Schizosaccharomyces pombe: one gene and its partners. The protein of the gene in region 1 binds, or shares a complex with, the protein of each later gene. Each region holds a gene or a part of one and is shown in the gene's direction. Other genes may lie near its edges.

Region 1 (6,174 bases):
TTTCGTAGGGTTAATTTTCATCTGCATATATTCTGTTTTCTTGTTTTTTAAGAACAAAAATTTTTCATCTAAATATATAATTGTCAAAGTTAGTAAGATACTGGTCTTCCCTAATCTTCAAGTTTTCTTTTAACTCTTTCGTCCTTTTTTTCTAAAACTCATTTACTACTCTTCTGGTTTTTTATTTTTCCCTAGAAGTCATGTCTTTCTTCTCCGCTGCAAAGCAAAGTCTGGGTAATTCCCTCATTAAGTTAGGAACATCTATGGCTCAAAATTCCCAAGGCCCTGTAGATGACTCTAGCTTGTCTCAATTGGAGAATTTGCTCCCACCTTTGCAAATTTTGACTGCTAGAGCCGCTATGGCTGCTATGAACATGTCGAATGATACATCCATGTCTGGAATGAACATGACCAACAGTACGACACCCATGTCTGGAATGAACATGACCAATAGTACAACATCCATGTCTGGAATGAACATGTCCAACAGCACAACATCCATGTCTGGCATGAATATGACTAATACCACTACAACCGCAAAGGCTTCTTCTTGTAAATTATCCATGTATTGGAACTGGTATACTATCGATGCTTGCTTTATTACCAAACATTGGCATATCACCAGTAAGCATATGTTTGTCGGTAGTATTTTCGGAATTATCTTCATGATGATGGCATTGGAATTGGTCCGTCGCGGACAAAGAGAGTTCGATCGTTGGTGTGTCCGTAGATTTTCTCCCGCTAGCAATTCCTGCTGTCATTCGGGTGCCCCTGTTCATTCTGGTCCAAGCATGGCCCTTCGAATCTTTCTTCATTTTCTTCGGTCCTGCTTTTATCTAGTCCAGTATATTGTCGCGTATATCGCAATGTTACTCGCAATGTATTATAATGGCTATGTAATTTTATTTCTCTTTTGTGGCACCTTCTTTGGCTATTTCCTGTTTGGTGCGGATACCATCTCTACTAAGGCCTCTTCATCTGTTCAAACGAAAACGATCGTTCAAGTCGCCGACGAAAAACACGAACATGATTCCAGTCAATATTCAGACACAACACCTACAACCGAATAGCTTGATTATCTCTAAATTTGGTTTAGTATTCCCAATTTCATGCACCTCACTCATTTTCAGTGCTGAAGCGTCTGATTAATCATAATCGTCTTCGCTTTAATTTCTTTCGCACAGTCACTGATAGTTTGGAAGAGGATTCTTTGATGAATGTTGAAGCCACATATTACATGTCCATGTTGGAAAGACAAAACAAATTCTGGTAATTTGTCTTAAGTTTTTACAAAGTAATAAAAGTTTCAACAAAAATAAATAGATGCCACAAGGTAACGCTTATCTTTGTTAGTTAAACATTCAAATTAGAGTATATAGCAATTTGAACAGATGTAATTCGTTCCTTTTTTTTTTTAACCATGATTGTTTGTTTTCGACTTTGAACCTGGAGGTTAATAAATATTTATTATTATAAAGACTGACATTAACACGATTCAGTACCTTTATGGTATCTTAAGGTGATCACTTTCTATATATTTTTAAATGAGTTTGTAATGACATGGTGCAACAGAACTACATAAGATATTCATCAATCACATTTTTGACGTTCAGAAACCATTTGTCGATATCTCGGAAGATTAATTCCAACAGCAGATCGTATTAACAAGACATCCACAATACCATCCTGCCGCTTTCTCCCAACAATGTTGAGCCACTCATGCTTTTGAATAGATACATCAGGTAAAACTACTGTAACATCACAAGTCACGCTGCTTGATCCATCAATCAACCGTAGAATGCCATTCTTATATGATTGCACGCATCCTAAAAATCGAAGTTTTTGGCCGTCCTTACAATCGTTAATTTGATTAATGAAGATAAGTTTAGCACTATCCATCAGCTGCTAAATATATTGTAAAAAGGAGAACAAGGAAAGATGAGGGAAGGTGGTATAGTTTGTGTTTGGAAACTGGGTAATCGATTGAAATATGAATTTCGTAAATGAGCGACTTAAGATCGCAGCTTTAATTAAGAAAACGTAGTTTGACTTTTTCAAAAGGAAAAATTTGCATTAATCCTTAAAATGTGCAGAAAGACTACACTCTCGTTTGCAATAGTAAAAGCAAAATCTAATAATCGTATAGTACTATCAGTGAGGCATATTAGATTGATAAATAGACCAACATTTCCATTATTATTATTTATGAATTGGTTTACTTGAGCAACTCCACAAAAAACGCAAGCATGGTTCTTTTGATTAGTTTTTATAAATTAAGTCAGATGGAATATAAAAAGAGAAAAATAAATGCTTTGGCCGGGAATCGAACCCGGGTCGAATCGATGGCAACGATTCATTATACCACTAAACCACCAAAGCTTCTTGAAATATCTTGTAAACTTGTATAATATAAGTAGCTATTAACGATAACGATAATTATTTATTATACCATTATAATATTGATTAAAATCAAGCAGAGAATTGGAAACATGTTCTGATGTAGTTGTTTAAGGCCTTATAAGAAATCAATAGTTCTTGTAATAAATTCCGATTTTAGTTATAGGGCCAATGCGGCTAATATTCACTTGATAAATTGAAGCTGACTGTAAACAAAAGGTTACCCCTTACTTAACCATTTGATATTATAATTTACATTGCAAAAAATTTGGGTCAGTTTGAAAAGGTGTGTACATTTCCTAAAAATCTATGGAAAATTGAAAAAAATAAAATAAATTTAATTTAATATTTAAAATATCATGCTTCCAGTATTCAATATAATCGGTATTTAAATTGAACCATGAACAGATTAGAAATGGTTTAAAAAAAAAACAGCAAAACAAAATTGTATTGAATTTATCCTACAATCAAAATGCCGTTAACAATATTTTTTAGCTTGAATCTTCCGATTTCTCTTAATAAACCGTCAAAGTGCCAAAAACCAGTTTTAATATAACGAATTATATAATATACATTTAAGGTGCCATAAACACACTGCATTATACGTATTGAAACTAAGAGTGTGGATACTGTGCATATAGAGACTGCTAAACTCCAGGAAACCCGCATTTGGAGAGTAATTTCGTGTTTTTACTCGGAAAATTGCAAGCCTTAATACGATTCTTGTAAATTCAAAAGTTAGAACTCTTCCAAGTGATTTTTTGCGTGTTTTTTTGCTGTTTATTTTTTTTTTGCATTGAGCTCTTTTGTCACGTCGTTGCTATAGCTTTTAGGCTTTGAGAATCTTCGTTATAACTAATATTATTTGAAGTGTGGGTTTATCCAAAAGGCCCTTTACAGTTTTTTGTGTTATAACCTTTTCTCAAAAAAATTTAAAGCATCATTTCTAAAGCGACACCAAAATTAAAATAGTTGAAAGAGTAAAAACATGTTGTTTACAATCAAACCTTCATTTTTGAAGCCTGTAGGCTTCATTCAGACTCGGAATTTGAACCGGCTATACCCTAAACAACGTATTCCTAAGCGACCTAAAATTCCTATGGGTTCCAAAATAGCAGAGGTAACTGAAACTACATCTGCTTATTACAATCCACCAGCGTCTTCTCCAGATGTTAGGATTACTCCTCCTGTTTTTCGCTATGATGCACCTCCAATTCATCAGCGTGATACCTCACTTTCCAAAGAGTCAATGTTTCTCCCGCCGGCAGTTAGCCGAAAATCGAAAAGCAAAGGAAAGTTGAGGTTTTCTACTCATCAACTGAGTAGTGAAGATATCAAATCCATCCAAGACTTGAGGACGAAAGATCCGAATGCTTGGACAACTGGAACACTGTCTAAAAAGTTTAACACAACTCGGTTACTAATTTCACGAGTTTGTGAAGCTCCCAAAGAAAGGATTCAAAAAGTTGAAGAAAATTTTGAGGCTGAAAAACTTGCCTGGGGATCAAAGAAGCGTGAAATTCGCCGACAACGTGCATCTCGTCAAGCATTCCGTACATTGGAACGAGTAGCACAGGTTTAAAATAATTTAATAGTTTTTGGGATTCTAAAACTCTGGTTTTCAATAAAGCTCTGATGCACATGCGGAAGCGTTTTTGACTGCATTATTTAATGTTTCAATCACGTTACAAAATACTCGAGTGATTTGAAAGTTCCTTGGAAAATAATATTAGTTTTGAAGCTTTTCAAAAAAAACAGACATCTTCATTCTTCTTTATTTCTTAATTTACAAAGGCTCTCTGGCATTTTACGAATTATCCTTTACATTTCTATCAACATTTACGCACATTGGTCTGCATATCGCGAATTTTTGTCGCAACCTTTAAAATGTTATTATACAGGCACGAACTTGTTTTACATTTTTACCTCTCCCTTCTCATGTACATATTTCCTTTTTGGAACAAATGAGGAAATTTTTCATTTCAGCTTAGTAGGCTCGGAAATCCTCAATCATAGAGTATGTTGCTTTTGTAACACTCAAGCCAGTTTTTTTTTTTTTTTGGTTTTATCTTTTAACTATTACTGAGAATATACAATGGTGTACATAATTAATTGGGTCAGCGAGCAGTAAAAAAACATCTTTATTTCCTCTTGTACAGAGAGCCCTTTCGTTCAAACCTCAAGTGGTGAAAATAAAGATATTTTTTCGGCTTTTAAGCAGTTGCTATTTAAGATTTCCAATCGACATCAACCGTTTATAAACACTCACGAGATACTTACTTTTGCAAGTTTCCTCACCAGCCATCATCCATCCATCTCCTTAGGACAATTTGCATTCTACGGATTTCATTAATACATCCATCTCTAGCTACTATTTACTTATATTAAAGCTTTGTTTCGCCGTTTTCTACTTTTTTGAAGCTTGTGTGACTATACGTGCTCTTCTTTGTTGGCCCAATTTTCCAACGATCGTCTAAAGAAACATGCGACCTAGTTGAGGAATTTTGCTTTAAGACATTGTTTTTACAGACTCTAACAAGCTTAATTTGTATGGTGGACACAGCTTTGTTGTAATACTGCATACTGCGATTCTCAAATCCTACACTCCTCTCTCCTCTTCTCTCCTTGTTACTTAGTACCTCGAGAAGTTTTGGGGTGACATCAGTCAGACACAAGAATTATATGATGGGTGGGTGGGTTAATACGTATATGAATGATCTCATTTACGTTGCCGTATTGTGCTACTAAAAGTGTTATATATAGAGCAGTGGGAAGTAGAAGTGAGCACTCTTATTAACGATAAAGTTGTGAGTTGAACAAAAGCGACTTACTACTTTGAAATATTGTTTTACTTTACAATTGAACATTTACTAGTGTTCAGGAAAAATCTAATTTTTTTTCGTGCGCTCGATTGAATATTATATCAATCCTTTGTGTTGTACGGAGAAAACCGCTTTTATATAACCTTTCGATTTATTAATTTTTTTTTACTCGGTTAATTCACGAAATCCTAATCGAGCATCATGAATAGGCGTGTTACTCTTGGAGCCTTGGCCGCTGCTGTTGGTGTTGGTTATTATATGACTCGCCATAATCGTCAGGCATCTTCCAGATTGGAACAGAAGAATGCAGAAATCGTCAGAGCCGTGGAAAATGAGGGTCAACGATTTGACAAAGCTGTTGGCGAAACCACTGAAAAGGCAAAATCTTATCTCCAAAGTGGGAAGGAGAGGGTTGTCGATGAACTCGACAAACCTCGTGAAAACGTAAAAAATGTGTTGTCAGAGGCGCAAGCCAAGGGTACTGAACAAGCAGAAGCCCTTAAAAAGGGTACCTCAAAATGGTTTTAAATTGGAAATCCCCAATTCTCGCCATTTAGGGTTATGTGGCAATACTTTGAAAAAATACACACAGGGTTTGTTGTGTATTTGAAAACGTAAAGTGCCTAGCATTGGCTCGTTCTATACCTGCTATCCATTAAGTGTTCTTGTTAATTGTTCCAAACGTATTGCCAAACATTCCGGATCACATCTCGGCAAAGTCGGAGAGATTAAACGTTGTTAACGTTATTCTTTTTTATGTTATTATTAGTTTCTTCTCTCATAAACCAACTGAACCCAAATGATTAGCGATGACAAACAAACGACGATTCCATGGGTTGTCAAAAACACCCTCATAGAAGTTTGCTTTTTTTTGTACAGATAAAAGCGAATTTTTAATTGAAATAATGTTTTTCATGAACGCATAAATGAATGATTGAAATTTTTACATGCATGA
Region 2 (4,705 bases), on another chromosome or scaffold:
CGCTCGACACGGCCAGTGACTACAGTTCCGCGACCTGAAATTGAAAAAACGTCCTCGATGGCCATCAAGAAAGGGACATCCGTTTTTCTTTCAGGAAGAGTAATATAACTATCAACAGCTTCCATCAATTTAGTAATACTATTGAGACCAATCTCAGGCTCACGACCCTCTAAGGCACATAAAGCACTGCCGCTAACAATTGGAGTATTGTCACCATCAAATCCGTATTCGGAGAGTAGCTCACGCATTTCCATTTCGACAAGCTCGATCATATCAGGCTCGACCATATCGACTTTATTGATGTATACAACAATTTGCTTTACACCGACTTGACGAGCCAGAAGCAAATGTTCACGAGTTTGAGGCATTTGACCATCGGTAGCAGAAACAACAATGATAGCGCCATCCATTGTAGCAGCACCAGTAATCATATTCTTAATGTAATCGGCGTGACCAGGACAATCCACATGGGCATAGTGACGATTAGCAGTTTCGTATTCAACATGGGCAGATGAAATGGTAATACCACGTGCCTTTTCCTCGGGGGCCTTGTCAATTTGACTATAATCCATAAAACTAGCTTGACCAAGATCAGAAAGGCATTTAGTAATAGCAGCCGTCAACGTCGTTTTACCGTGGTCAACATGACCAATAGTACCAATATTGACATGCGGCTTTTTTCTAACGAACACCTTAAAAAAGTTAACAAGTAATCAAAAAGATGAAGAATGAAAAAAAAATACCTTTTCGTCAGCATAAGTTCGAGCTGGGACGGTGAACCGGTTAATCAAACCTGAAGCGAAAGAAATGCGGTTCAATCGCAAGCAATTTTTTCTAAAGCCTTGAAAGAGGAGAGAGGTAGCTTTAGCTGAATTCATAACGAAGGGAGCGTGTAGGCAGAGGAGAGGTCTCTGGCGCTCGTGTTGTCCTTGAAATAAGTCTCAGCGGTGCGCATCGTTATGAGAATACTATTGACACGAGCATTTCATGAAATAAATGGTCCTGGGTGTTTGGATACAATCAATATTTGTAGAATTTATTTTATTTTGTTCTATTTTACCGCTACGCCTATATATGATGATACGCTTGTTAATAATAAAAAAATACTAGATGAACTAGTGAACAACACCGCCAAATCGAAAGCAATTGATAGTTTTTTTTTATTTGCACAATGAATGGTATTATGTCTCTGATCTCTAAAGGAATGTCAATCTGATTTTGCTAGATCGCAAGAGCAACCACCATGCAAGCAAAAATCGCTTACTATCCTGTCAAGTACAAAGAATAAAACCATTAATGAAAAGTCTCAATGACAAAGCTCAGCGTCTCGTGAATGTTGGTTAACTTCGAAGAGTCTTTTGCTTTTATTAAGTAAAAGGATGTAAGGAATAACAAGAAGTGGTGCGTGACTAAAGAAAGATAAAACTATCCATCCAACGGAATAAAGGAAAATCAAACTTTTCTGTAATATAGAATACTCAAATCAAAAGTCGTTACTATTGTACGAAGAAGCACCTCTAAAGCGAAAAATTTTAAACAAAAGAATGAGATAAAAATATGTAGATAGCTTTGTATAGTAATTTTATTCGTTCCTTTAATTACGAGGTGGAGCAATCAAAATAACCGAATCACCTAAAGTTCATTAGCATTTGGCGAAAAAGGAAAAACAGTTTCGAAAAGGAAAGCTTAATCATGGTCAAACTTTTCGAGCGTAATATTTAGAATCTACGTACCACGAACAAAGAGCATCTCATAATGTTTGCGAATCGTTTTTAAGGCCTTGTCCTTATCGGTCTCTTCATCATCAAAAATAGTTACAATTTCTTCAGCATCTCCTAGTACCATATTCTAAAATACGTGTAAGTAATCCATCCAAATGCGAGTTATGAATATGATTCATACCAAATGTTCATCATAGGCCTACAATCGAGTTAGTATAACCAATTCAGAATAAGAAAAATATTCAAGAAACGTTAAAAAAATTTCATACATGAAGACGGCCATTTAATTCTCTATCTCCCCGTAATTTTACATAAACGATTTCATCCAAAGAAAGCCTCACCAAATCAAGAGGTTCCGCGACCTACAAACATTAGTTACCGAGTTACTGTTGATAAATCTTACTGCCTGTGCCGATTCCATTATAAAGTAAAGGGTTATTATATCTACCAAGCAAGATCGCTGTTGCTGCAATTATGCACTGGCATATGTCAGGAAGAAATAAAGGAGGAAACAAATTCGAATTGCGCAGTGCAGCGATGCTGAATATAGTAATAAAGATATTTTTATGAGACGCTATAGAATTTTACGTATTCGTGTGTGTCCGAATCTTTTGTAATAGTAAACAGCAGCCTTGGACTTATTACCATCTAAACTCGACGAAACCCGTTTTTTGAATTGGAAAATGTTTAATATTTTATCTCGGGTTTGTCGCAGTTCTTCATTTCATGGTTTTTTGAGATCCTCTGGTTATCCAAGATTTGGTGCTAGTTTCCGCGGCATCAGTATGTTGAATGATTTAAACAACAGTGCAAATTATCAGTCAAAGAAGCGAGTGGGTAGAGGCCCTGCGAGCGGTTTAGGAAAAACCTCTGGACGTGGTCATAAAGGATCTGGTCAAAGGCGTGGACGGAGAATTAAACCTGGTTTTGAAGGTGGTCAAACTCCTATCACCAAATTATTTCCTAAAGTTGGTCACAGTACGGGACATTTGAAGAAACCGTTGCGTCTGGGGTTAGGGAGAGTTCAGGAATGGATTGATCGTGGTAGATTGGATGCTAGCAAGACAATTACTATGAAAGACCTCCTCGATAGTAGATGCTGTAGAGGTATTAAACATGGAGTTGAACTTACTGCTGACGAACCTGGACTCCTTAAAACAGCAATTTCCATAGAAGTTTCTAAGGCTACAGTTCAAGCTATACAACAAATCAAAAATGCAGGCGGCAGTATAACAACAGTATATTTCAGCCCGTTGGCGCTACGTGCCCATTTGCATCCTTCAAGTTTTCGTACACCTCCTCGCCCTCCCCTTCCAGTTTCAAAGAAAGACATACGCTACTACACAAATCCACATTTTGCAGGGTATCTTGCCAACGTTAAAAATATTCGAGAGCTATATTATGGCGACCAACGATTCCCCTACGAACCGATTGTTAAAGATAAATAAGTAGTTCCCATATTACATCAGAACTTGATATATGTTCATCAAAAATCCCGCTTTCCTAATATGTCCTTAAAACTTTGTTATGTCTATTGATGATTCCGTGCAGCCTCCTTTACTTTCTTGGATGGGTTACATGTTGAGTTTTGTAAGGAAATATCTGCATCCTTTTCTTAGTACATTTGTATAATTACGTTTCCAATTTCGGTGTTTGAGCTCTCTACTGACTTTTTCGCTTACAGTTCAATACCCATTAGTAATATTTTGAATACCTTTCTCATTCGAAAATATAGCTTCCTTCTTTATCCCCCAAATCCCCTTGTTGTAGTCAGTTCATTCTCTGTCAGATAAACCCTTTCTCACATTTATTCATTTGCTTCATTAGTAGATTTGAGCATTCGCAGTCATGCACTTTTTTTGTATAATCAAGAACCCCTGCCGACTGTTTGTTAAATTATTATCTTTTGCCTTTTTTTGTTTAAAGCTTTCTTAAAATTTTTTCATCCTCCGATTGTCTATCCAACAGGAAAAGATCTTTCAAAGGATCTCCTTTTCAAAGGCATGCAAGGAAGAAGAAAAAGAACATTTGTTGATCAATGGAACGGTTAAAGACTTATATATAAGAATGACTAAGAAAACCGGCATTTGTAATAGAAGTGTAAGCGAACCATAGTAGTACATTAACCTTATGATCAATTAATCTACATAAACGGTCAATTCTAAAAAAAATAATACATATTGACTGGGAAACTCCTTATTTCATATATTAGAAAGGGACATTTATCAACTCTCCAATTAGTGCACTAAAACGCAGTATGGAAGGAACGATGCTAAGAACTGCTTCAACACTTTGTCAATAAACCAACAATGTCGGCTCCGTCGCCGTTTATTAAGAAACTTGCAGCTAATGGTAAATTTCTTACATATAAATGATTAATGTACTAACACTGTAAGATCGAAAAACTCGTGATAAGGCTCTTGAATCGTTGCAGCGGTTTTTAAGCCAAAAGAAAAAATTTGAAAGGTTAGACTTTCTCAAGCTTTGGAAGGGCTTATTTTACTGTATGAATTTTTTTGGGTTATGAATGTAAATCATCTAATTGTTTTTTAATATGCAGGCATGTGGATGGCTGATAAACCCTTATACCAACAGAAACTCTCAGATAATTTAGCCGCGTTGGTTCCAATTGTCTGGATAGACAATAGAATATTATTTCAATCTACTTTTTGGGAAACTATGGGTCGTGAATGGACGGGAATTGATATTTTACGAACAGACAAATTTTACTTGTTAATGCGTAGATTTTGTGCTGCTGCGTTTCGGGATATTCAAACAAGAAGTAAAACTGCTTTGCTGGACAAAGTAGTGGCTGAATATAATCAGATGTGGATGGATGGTCCTTTTAAGTAAGTTGTTTTCGTTCCCGCGTGTGGGAATTTGTTTATTATATAGATTGCTTTTGCGTTGGAGACTTTTAGAAAAGTTTTGCAACGCTTTTACTTCCTGCTTACATCAAACTTGTTGAATAGCTATTTCTTAAT
Region 3 (4,253 bases), on another chromosome or scaffold:
CTGACTTTTAGAATTGTATAATCGTGCAACATCGTCTTTAACTCGAACGATTACCCAGTCTCCAGCAGGCACAGGCTTTTTGTAGTTTATGCTATAACTGGGAGTACGCACATCGAAGTTTTCAGTAGGAATAGGGTCCCGAGGCTGTGTTGATTGTGAATTTGCTTGCGATGATCTAAGATTCCGAACAGTCTCAAGAGACTCGATCAATAAAGTTGCAATGGCGCCCCCATGAGCCAGTTTCTGATATCCTGTCAAAGCCTTACCCATGAGTCCAATGCTGATCCATTCTTCATGTTCGGGGTCATAAAATGTTTTAAATACAGGTATCAATCCATCTTTAAAGGAAAGAAAATTGGAAGGATACTTAGATTGAAGCAAGGACGGATGCTCCTCCATTTTCATGCTGCGTTGACGTTCGCGATAAATGTTATCAATCATTTGAACAGCTTCAGGCGATTTCGAAATTTCAGAAATATGTTTCGCACTTGCTGGTAGTCGATGATATGCTGTATAGGCATCACTGGAAACAACCCAAGAAGCTAGACCGCCTACCATAAATCCCCCAATCCCTGCTAATAACAGCTTATTTTGAAATAATTTAGAGCTCATAATCAAAAATTGAACAAAGTTTCAAACTTTTCGTCACAATGTAATAGGAGCGTTTACTATTAGCGATATTCGGACGTTATAAAACTGATACGCAGATGGAGCATATGTGCAAAGCATAGGGTATCATTAATTTATGCAAGAATATTTATCGTATATTTTAAGAAAATATAATTACTTACATATCCAAAAAGTATTCTATAATAATAACTAATACAGGAATAAACAAATTTCGTAATGCAATTGAAGCAAAGCATTTGGAGAGAAAATGATGATTGTGAATAATTCAATGACATAAATTGTAATAGTACAACATTAATTAATTTATTTCTTTTAAGATTGAATGTAAGAATCGATGCTCTGCCCTACTGTAGGAAATTAATCACTTCGATTACATTCAGCAAAATTCAACTTTGAAAAAAAAAGCAATATCAGAGAATAATCCAGGTACCTAGAAAAACTTTCATCGCCATTGCTGCAGTTTTCTAGTTGGTTTATGAAGAAGCATATACAATAAAAGATCGGAGAACTTTCACCTTTTTTAAAGCATCTGTTTTCAAAAAAGAAAGAAACTTTTATTTTCCCTTTTAATACGACTTCGGTCCAAATTACAGAAGTTGCGAAAACGAAAGTCAAAATTTTTGTAATAAAGATGCATACAGAGGGTATTCTGTATTTTTTGAAACAAAACTCTAATAAATATTAGAGAAAAAGCAGCCGTGGATTTTAGGAAAACTCCATTTCAACGCCTTCAACAGATATCATTTTCAACTCCCATTCACGCATAAAATTAACTTTGATTTCTTCCAGATGAGTAATAAGGGACTTAGCAGCATCAACAATAACCTGCTTTGGAGAACAATCTTCTACGGTTTGTACACGAAGTATGAAATTGTGATTTAATGGATGAGGAACTTTGTAACCAGCAAAAAGAACCCTTTCGTCAGATAGGAGTTGACTTCGAAAAAGCAGTTAGAAAAGAAAAAAAAATTTAGAAGTCTTACTTTGCAAGCATATTAGCCAATGTATGATCCTCTTTTTCAAGAGTAACTACTGCGGCATTAGGTGATTTGCTATCGAGCTCATATGTGACTCTACACTGGTTAATGCAATTCCTTGTAAAATTGTTTATTCCTTACTTGGGGAGTCCCATAAGCTCAATGAGCTCATACCGTTCTGGCTGATTCATTATGCCAACGTTTTCAGCCGACTAGCTGAAGAAGAAGTAAGATGTTGATGCTTACGAGGGTTTTGTCCACGTTCTGTACATTAAGCATCACTATAAATCGTAATGCCATTTAACAAAAGCTTTAACACTTTATTCCACAACTCATCGTATTTCGTTATAAATAACGCGAACGTGAACGGACACTTAATATATATTTATCTGTTGGAAATCGGCTCAAACGAGTAATGAAATGGGAGATGTAACAGTATTTTTTAATAACTGATTTTAATAACTAAAATTTTTAAAGGCATATTTTGAGGCGTTTAATTGTAGATTAACCGTACTTGTTTTCATTGAACTGTGCAGAAAGATAAACAACAAGAAAGCTCATTTAAATGTTGAAAAAAAAATAGTTTTTCGTACTTATTTCATTTTTTAGTTTCATAATGTAATTCGTTTGTTCGTTTTAAACAAATATTTTTATTGTTTACATTCTATGTTTCGCTTTGACTGTTACCTTATACCGTTACCTTTTCTTTTATGACGGAAAACGCGCCAACTTAAACCCTCCATTTACCCAAATCGAGAGTTATTCAAAATGCATCAATCATTATTATGTTTTGGAGCAAGACGCTTGCCAATGACCACAAAGTTGGGTCATCAGTATTACAAGGGTACAAGAACTGGGAAAATGGGTCAAAAAACCAGGCATGGAGGTTTTCTTGTCCAGTGGTCGCGTGTTCGCACGTTTGTGCCTCCTTCTGGTGATTGTGAGGTATGTTGTAAATTAATGAATATTGTTTTATATTAACTTTCAAAGCTTTTGCCTTTTGTTTCTCGTCGAATTCAAGCCACTAAAGGAACTTATCCTGAAGGTGCAAATGGGTTGGATGGAGCTGTGTATTTTGATCTTGCTCATAGCTAGTATGTTTATCAGCCTCATTCTTTATTGTTTTGAAAAATTTTGGTACCCTTTTCAACTGTTGCTTTATTCTATCTGTTAATGATTGGGCATACACTTTGAAAGGAGAAATTTCTACGTTACGATACCTTATGTTGCGTTGACTGTTGTTATTTATTGTTTACGGACACGTATATTTATCGATATTCTGTTGTGACGTTTGCTTCTATTAAATATACTAGTTACATTCTTACTTTTTCTGCCAAAATTGGGGGCAATCTTGAGTACTGCGCATTTATATATTTATTATAGGATTAGTCTTTTTCATCCCATCTATCTTAGAAAAAAAAGGGCTGCTAATACCTAGCAATGCGGTTTAAGCATGGATTTTCTATATCTTGGATATCAGGTATAAAAATGTCGAAAACTTCATGTTTCTTGAAGAAATACAGACTAATATTACTTTGGTGTATCCTTGGCATTGCCTACATTTTATTCTGGACTCATCGGATTAGCAAAGCGTTTGCTTCAGTATCCTCGACTTCGGACTCAACCGTCCATCTTTTTGAGCGCGGAAATACCTTAAATGATAGCAACGACCAAATTTTACTTACATGCAATGATATCAAAAACATTACCCCTGCTAATCAATGTCGGTTTGCAAAGGCTTACTGTAAGGGAGAGGCTAGTGGGTTCTTTGATTACGTTGAATTTTATTTTTGTACCATTAACAGTCTCCGATTCCCAGTGTTATCAATAATTGTGGGATGGCTGATTTTCCTTTTCATAACTATCGGAATTTCTGCTAGTGATTTTTTTAGTACCAATTTGGTTACTATTTCGTGGCTACTTCAATTGCCCGATTCTGTGGTTGGCGTTACTTTTCTTGCTTTAGGCAATGGATCTCCTGATATTCTTAGTACGTTCGCTGCTGTACGTGTCAACAGTGGGGGAATGGCTATTGGGGAACTTTTGGGCTCTGCATTCTTCATCGTAGCCATAGTTGCTGGCAGCGTATGTTTAATAAAGCCATTTAAAATACCTCGGCGTCACTTCCTTCGGGATGTTGCTTTCCTTACCGGTACTATTTTACTTGTTATAATGTTTGTTTTGCATGATGGTTCGTTGAGTATTTGGCAGAGTCTCGTAATGATACTTTATTATCTACTCTACGTTCTTTTCGTCTTTTTCTCTGGTAGCTCTGGTGTTAGCGTGGTAATCACTGATGAGAATTATTTGCCTGTCTCCCTTCCAGTCTACTCACCGGTTTTAAATTCTTTCGATGACTCGGATTCCTATAGTAGCACGGATTCTGAATTATCCGAAGAGGCATTTCTCTTGCCTGCCCAAGCATCTAGAAAGACCCAAAAAATACATTACATTAACGATAATGACCCTTCAAATTCGTATTCCTCATATCAACATTCCCATGTCCATGATTTTATTCACAAAAACAACACTCATTCTAACCGTGTGCTAAGTCAGTCATCGGGCCCCATTGTGCGTCCTTCGTTGCTTGCTGCTCTCGACTTTAGATCTTCGAATGAGGAACAACATCCGGGATTACGCTCACTT
Region 4 (5,457 bases), on another chromosome or scaffold:
CTACATACAAGACTCTGGTCCTTTATTCAAACGAGTTCGATTTCTTCTTTCTGAGTCACTTAAAAGCGGCTTGTTTTCAGAATCCTCTTTATTACAGATGACATATTGTGCATTGGCTGCAAGGGTTTTAGCTCCATTTATTGGCTTTAGTGATTCTGGAGAACACGGTGAGTCGTATCCGAATTTAAAGCTTGCTACACAAACTACAACTATGTTTTTTGAAGTCCTTTCTGATTCAGTGAATAGCCAGCTTCCTTTACAAGCTCTTACCTCTGGTGTGTCGAGTAAGAAGGACGGTAATTTTGATGATCTAGTCGAACGTCGTCAATATGGATCTCTGTCTTCAAATGCTGTACTTATGCCAATGCTTCTACCTTTGTGTGTTTTGACTTCTTCGTGTTTGCAAAATGGGGACGTCTGGCTTACTAAAGATATTCGAACTGGACTTTCACAGATATTCAATCGTTTAAGCTTCTTTTTGGAGAACACAAATCAAACAGCTCCCGACGACTCTGTTCTTGTACGCTGTTCTTCTAAAAGTATCGGCCTGCTATTCTTTTTCCCTCTTGTTAAGGTTTGTGGAGTTCCTCGTGATACTTTACAGTGGCTTTACTTTTCAAATCATTATCCTTTTAATGAGGAAGGTAAAGGTCCCCAAGTTGATGATTCTGACGCACTGATAACAATTGCGTTAGATTCTTTGTATGTGTTACTGAATATGCGAGCGAAAAGTACACCAAATAGCACATCTTTTTCTTCGCCTCCAACACCCCACAGATCTCCATTTAGCGGACAGGCTTTTACTGGAATGGGATTATCGAATTATTCACTAATGTCCTCATCTTCTTTTCCATCTGCTCAATCTTCTCCTACATCTCCTTTTTTATCTGGAACACCATCCATAGCTAATCAGTCATCTAGTATTGCAAGTCTGCAATTTGGGAGGATGGTGGATAGCCTCGTTGGACCTGTTCAACCTATACCTGCTCAAACTACCGGGTGCTCTGTTCATTCATTACAACAACGCACGTTTTCAAATGAGAGTCCTAGAGCTGTCGATTCTGGTTTTAGTAGGACTAGCACACCATTTAGTGAAAGTACTAGTTCTTATCCTTTAGTGTCTGGGAATCTCAGTTCTTGTGAGACACACTTGAACGGATCTCCGCAAAACGGACATTTACAAGGTGAACGTGTTTTATTCCGCCCATTGAGAAGCCCTGCTTTAAACACATTTTCTACGCCTGCTACGGAACCTCCGGAACATTTGGTTTTGTCTGAGCTATTAAAGAAAATGGTTAACATCAGCAATAATTAAACTGTATTGTTGATTGTAATGTTTCATTAAAAATTCTGAAGTTTGTTAGAAGCAGTCAATTAACTTTGCTGCCAACAACGAACAAATTTCTTGCTTTATTTCTCACGAAGTGAAATAACCCAAAATAATGTATCACGGATTTCTTTGTTTATACACTGTGCTTACGAATTAGAAATGGTTCTTCACTTGCCTAAAGAAAGGCTTTGACTTTTATATAAGTATGAATAGTCATCAAATGGCCTAAAGTGTACGGGTATTCACGACACTTAAATTAAAATATGGTCGATGGGAAAATAAAACGTTGTTTAGTTATCATAGCGCTGTTCTGGTTTGACCTAAACACAAGCAATTAAGGCGCTTCCCAATGTTACAATATATATCATAGAATGGGTTAATTGTTTACATAGGACTGCGTTGAATTCTTTAAATAGAATCTTTAGCCTCGAATTATGAAGTTATCTGACTTGTTGGATATCCTCAGCTTGCCAATTGATTGATAATAAGCATATGAGCTTGGACAGTGAATATTCAATATTTGGTTACTCAGTGCAATTTGTTTTGTGATTCTAAGCAGAAATGCTCTTTATAAACATTTACTGCACTATCTTGAGTTTCTAGAGCTTGTTCTGTATCCAAATTGTAATGACTGGCGATTCTCAAGTGCCAGATCTTATACCTCTTTTTATGTCTTTACCAGACGTTATCGTAATGCCTGGACACAAAACTAAAGTGTAAATTTGTCTTTCCTATGAAATGCTTGGTTTTTCATTAAAGTGTTACGAATTCGAAACATATATCTATGATTTTTGAGTATACACTGGCGGTATCTGTTGTTTAAGATAATTTAGTTTTGAGTTATTCGAGGCAATCAATTTCTTATCAAGTGTGATTCTCTTTTTAGAAAACCAAACTAAAAGTAAATCTATTGATCTTTTCAAGTATTAAGACAACTTGTTTTCTTTTGGATAAAATGCTTTTATTGTTGCATAATAGATTGATAAAGGTACGAAATGTATAAATGCATTATTTTATGTTGAGTACTTTACTCTTTCAGGATTGTGTTTGAGCTAAGCTTCTTGCATCTCTCATTCATCATCACACATCTATATTGAAAGGAAAGAAGGTAAAAAACGAACAAGAACAAAGTGAATACAAAAGAACGAATTGGATTAGTATTGTTATTGCATGAAAGTGATCTTATGACATGCATCACTATCCTATCCAAATAGTTTGTAGAGCCAGTTAGTAATAATACTTTCCAATAATTTGAATATGTGTGGCATGCCATTTGGCACGATTTTGAGAAATACAAAAATAAAATCATCTTGTAAAAGAAGAGCAATTAGCTGCTTTTTTATGTACCAGCTGAAGGAAAAACATTTGTTTTTCGACGTATAAAAAAAAACAGAAAGACATCAGCTTAAAGCTTTAAAGCTAACTTGTTTAAATAAGTTTGTAAGTTACAAGTACAATACTTTCTATTACACTTGGCACTCAAAATCGTGTGGCATATGATTATAACGATGCCTCGGATTTCCTTACTTGGCACTAGGTAATACGGTACACTAACCATGACAATACACTAGACAAACGCGAGCAATCTTCCAGCCCTAGTACCTAAGATCCATTGCAAAATTGTTTTGGTTGCGAGACTTACCTGTTTTATCCATAACCATTTGTTAAAACCTTCCTTTGAAGATTTGAGAAACAGGTATCATTTGTGGACATTGGTCTTTACAATTTCCTTGTTTCGTGATTATAAATATTTTTTCCCGGATTTGTGTTATTTACTATAATTTATTGGTAAATTATAACACAAGTGCTCATCTGCTTATAAAGCAAAAGGATTTTCACGAAAATTCCCTAGAAAGTAACCTGTTGTATTTTTGTCGCTTTTGGTTTCTCTTTGTCATTATACTTGTTTTAATTCATTTTTTAATTTTTAACAATGCTTGGGATAAGAAAAAATATCAGAATATCAGTTAACTTTCTGCAGCGAAGAACCATCACTGTAAAGCAAAAACTGGGCAAGAATAGGCCCCTACCAGGATGGGATCCAAATTCTGAGTATTTTCGTCCAGGACCCACCATGTTAAATCGCTTACAAGAACACTTGCATGATACCATTTTACCGGATGTATTAGCTGCTTCATATCGACATGACATAGATACAGCGTTAAGCACAGATGAACATACACAGAAAGACAGACTTCCAAGGTGGATTGGTGATAACCCTTATTATAAAAACCGGCCTCCTCAGAAAATGCGTGGTAATAAGCCTCTGTTACCAGTAAAGGAGTCCGTTAATCCTAAAAACCTTCCTTCTATTAGCAAAGTTGTCGTCAGCACTATGCATAAAGAAGCACTCGTTGACAAAACGCAGCTCTTGAGTACAATGATGGCATTTCGTTCTATAACGGGTTTGCAGCCCGAAATAGTCTATGCACGTAAGGACGTTTCTCCCTGGAAACTTCGTTCAGGTGTGCCAGTAGGTGTAAAGGTTACTCTAACTGGAGAATCTATGTATACATTTCTTTCAATCTTATCTGAGTTGGTTCTTCCTCAGCTTCATGATTTCAAGGGCCTGAGTCCTACAAGCGGAGATCAAACAGGAAACATATCTTTTGGTTTACCAAGTGAAGTCATGCCTTTATTTCCCCAAATTGAAGCTGTTTATGAGATGTATCCGCACTCTTTACCTGGATTTAACGTAAATATAACAACCAATTCCAAAGATACCCGTTTGGCTCGTTTTTTCGTCAGCAGTCTTATTCCATTTACAGATGGAAATAAGGAAGGCTATGTTGGATAGTAGACAATTTATTTTATATCTACTATACCTAATCTTTTCTCCTCAAGGAGTGAACAAAAAATCCCCTTCTCTACGACTAATGCATACATACGTTTTTGAGTTTTACTTGTTTAAGTGATAGAATTCCCGTAGATATGTGTTATTATATATTTATGTTATCGTTTTCACAAAGTAAATAAAAATAAAAAGTTTTTTCTTGAAAAGGAATAATCAATGGATATTTTTTAAACAAACTGAACATGTAAAATAGTATTTTTTTAGTAACTAAACTCATAATGGTATTTATCAAGGACATTCACAAAATCATTAAAAACATGAATATTGTAGAAAAATATAGCAACTTAAATCATACGGTTTATAGGTTAAATAAATTCATTAGTTCTAAATGGCATAAATGCAATGATAATGATGCAAAAAAACATAAAAAAGATAGATCGTAAAATAATGTTTCTGTTTTCATCATAACTTAGCCGGCTTATGAAACGAACGGGTGGCTCAACAACTCTGATGCTGTAGGTCTAAGATTACAATCTATGGCAAACGTTTTCTCAAGGAAATCTATGGCCGATGAAGAAATGTTAGAAGGGAATTCCGGCAGAATGTTCTCCCCAATTCTGAAAATGGCCTGCATTTGATCACAATTCGGATAAGGGTGCTTACTAGTGAGCATCTCGATTACCAAACATCCCAAAGACCAAATATCTGTTTTCTCCGTATGCATAGTTTGCTTCACCACTTCGGGAGCCATCCAAAAAGAAGAGCCTTGAAAAGAAGGGCGAGCACCACCCGTCTTCGTAGAGGTACTATTTAGTTCAAGTTTCTTCGATATCCCAAAGTCCGAAATTTTAATCTTCCCTTTATTATCAACCAAGATGTTCGCACCTTTTATATCACGGTGTACAATGCCGCGTGAATGAAGGTATTCTAAGCCTTTAAGGGTTTGCTTAATAAAGTTCTTGACTAGCGTTTCCTCAAAGCTTCCATACATTGTAAGCAATCCGGCAACCGACCCCCCAGGAACATATTCCAAAAAAATGTTCAAGTGGTCCGAATTTAAGTTAGAACCGAGATATTGGACAATATGCTCATGAGACAACTCCTGTAGAAGAGCAATTTCACCCGCTAATGCATCTAAAAGTTTGGCATGGCGGTCTTTTGATTCAGAAACAGAATCTAAGATCACTTGCTTAACAGCCATCAACTCACCACTAGATGCATTCATACCGAGATAAACTTGTCCAAACGATCCTGAACCTATTAACGCACCACGTATCCATTTGATAGACTGATCATCAGTGTCCTCTTCAAGTGTATTTGTGTCCTCACTTGT

What was found.
Region 2: mrpl20 (region 1) and mrpl10 share a complex: the UniProt entries of both Schizosaccharomyces pombe proteins name them as parts of the mitochondrial large ribosomal subunit.
Region 3: mrpl20 (region 1) and mrpl27 share a complex: the UniProt entries of both Schizosaccharomyces pombe proteins name them as parts of the mitochondrial large ribosomal subunit.
Region 4: mrpl20 (region 1) and mrpl7 share a complex: the UniProt entries of both Schizosaccharomyces pombe proteins name them as parts of the mitochondrial large ribosomal subunit.

What each region holds. Positions count from the first base shown.
Region 1 is NC_003421.2:818,259-824,432, forward strand, and holds mrpl20 (mitochondrial 54S ribosomal protein mL58), read left to right. Parts: upstream 1-3,036; 5' UTR 3,037-3,385; coding exon 3,386-3,979; 3' UTR 3,980-5,219; downstream 5,220-6,174. Other genes in the region: Cu(2+) transporter complex subunit Ctr4, read left to right, coding at 201-1,070; telomere cap complex subunit Ten1, read right to left, coding at 1,591-1,899; SPOM_SPCC1393.12 (uncharacterized protein), read left to right, coding at 5,421-5,747. UniProt on the Schizosaccharomyces pombe protein: Component of the mitochondrial ribosome (mitoribosome), a dedicated translation machinery responsible for the synthesis of mitochondrial genome-encoded proteins, including at least some of the essential transmembrane subunits of the mitochondrial respiratory chain.
Region 2 is NC_003423.3:1,820,532-1,825,236, forward strand, and holds mrpl10 (mitochondrial 54S ribosomal protein uL15m), read left to right. Parts: upstream 1-2,371; 5' UTR 2,372-2,404; coding exon 2,405-3,169; 3' UTR 3,170-3,426; downstream 3,427-4,705. Other genes in the region: translation elongation factor EF-Tu Tuf1, read right to left, coding at 1-692, 744-878; U6 snRNP-associated protein Lsm3, read right to left, coding at 1,595-1,632, 1,734-1,848, 1,903-1,920, 1,991-2,083, 2,125-2,142; Nop52 family nucleolar protein, read left to right, coding at 4,031-4,073, 4,118-4,225, 4,282-4,570. UniProt on the Schizosaccharomyces pombe protein: Component of the mitochondrial ribosome (mitoribosome), a dedicated translation machinery responsible for the synthesis of mitochondrial genome-encoded proteins, including at least some of the essential transmembrane subunits of the mitochondrial respiratory chain.
Region 3 is NC_003424.3:1,431,498-1,435,750, reverse strand, and holds mrpl27 (mitochondrial ribosomal protein subunit L27), read left to right. Parts: upstream 1-2,352; 5' UTR 2,353-2,375; coding exon 2,376-2,552; exon of another isoform or gene 2,553-2,597; coding exon 2,598-2,702; 3' UTR 2,703-2,978; downstream 2,979-4,253. Other genes in the region: SPOM_SPAC3A12.08 (uncharacterized protein), read right to left, coding at 1-612; DNA-directed RNA polymerase II complex subunit Rpb11, read right to left, coding at 1,336-1,567, 1,614-1,703, 1,749-1,798; SPOM_SPAC3A12.06C (sodium/calcium exchanger), read left to right, coding at 3,096-4,253. UniProt on the Schizosaccharomyces pombe protein: Component of the mitochondrial ribosome (mitoribosome), a dedicated translation machinery responsible for the synthesis of mitochondrial genome-encoded proteins, including at least some of the essential transmembrane subunits of the mitochondrial respiratory chain.
Region 4 is NC_003423.3:1,735,715-1,741,171, forward strand, and holds mrpl7 (mitochondrial 54S ribosomal protein uL5m), read left to right. Parts: upstream 1-2,927; 5' UTR 2,928-3,263; coding exon 3,264-4,127; 3' UTR 4,128-4,383; downstream 4,384-5,457. Other genes in the region: ebs1 (EST1 family protein), read left to right, coding at 1-1,315; MAP kinase kinase kinase Byr2, read right to left, coding at 4,603-5,457. UniProt on the Schizosaccharomyces pombe protein: Component of the mitochondrial ribosome (mitoribosome), a dedicated translation machinery responsible for the synthesis of mitochondrial genome-encoded proteins, including at least some of the essential transmembrane subunits of the mitochondrial respiratory chain.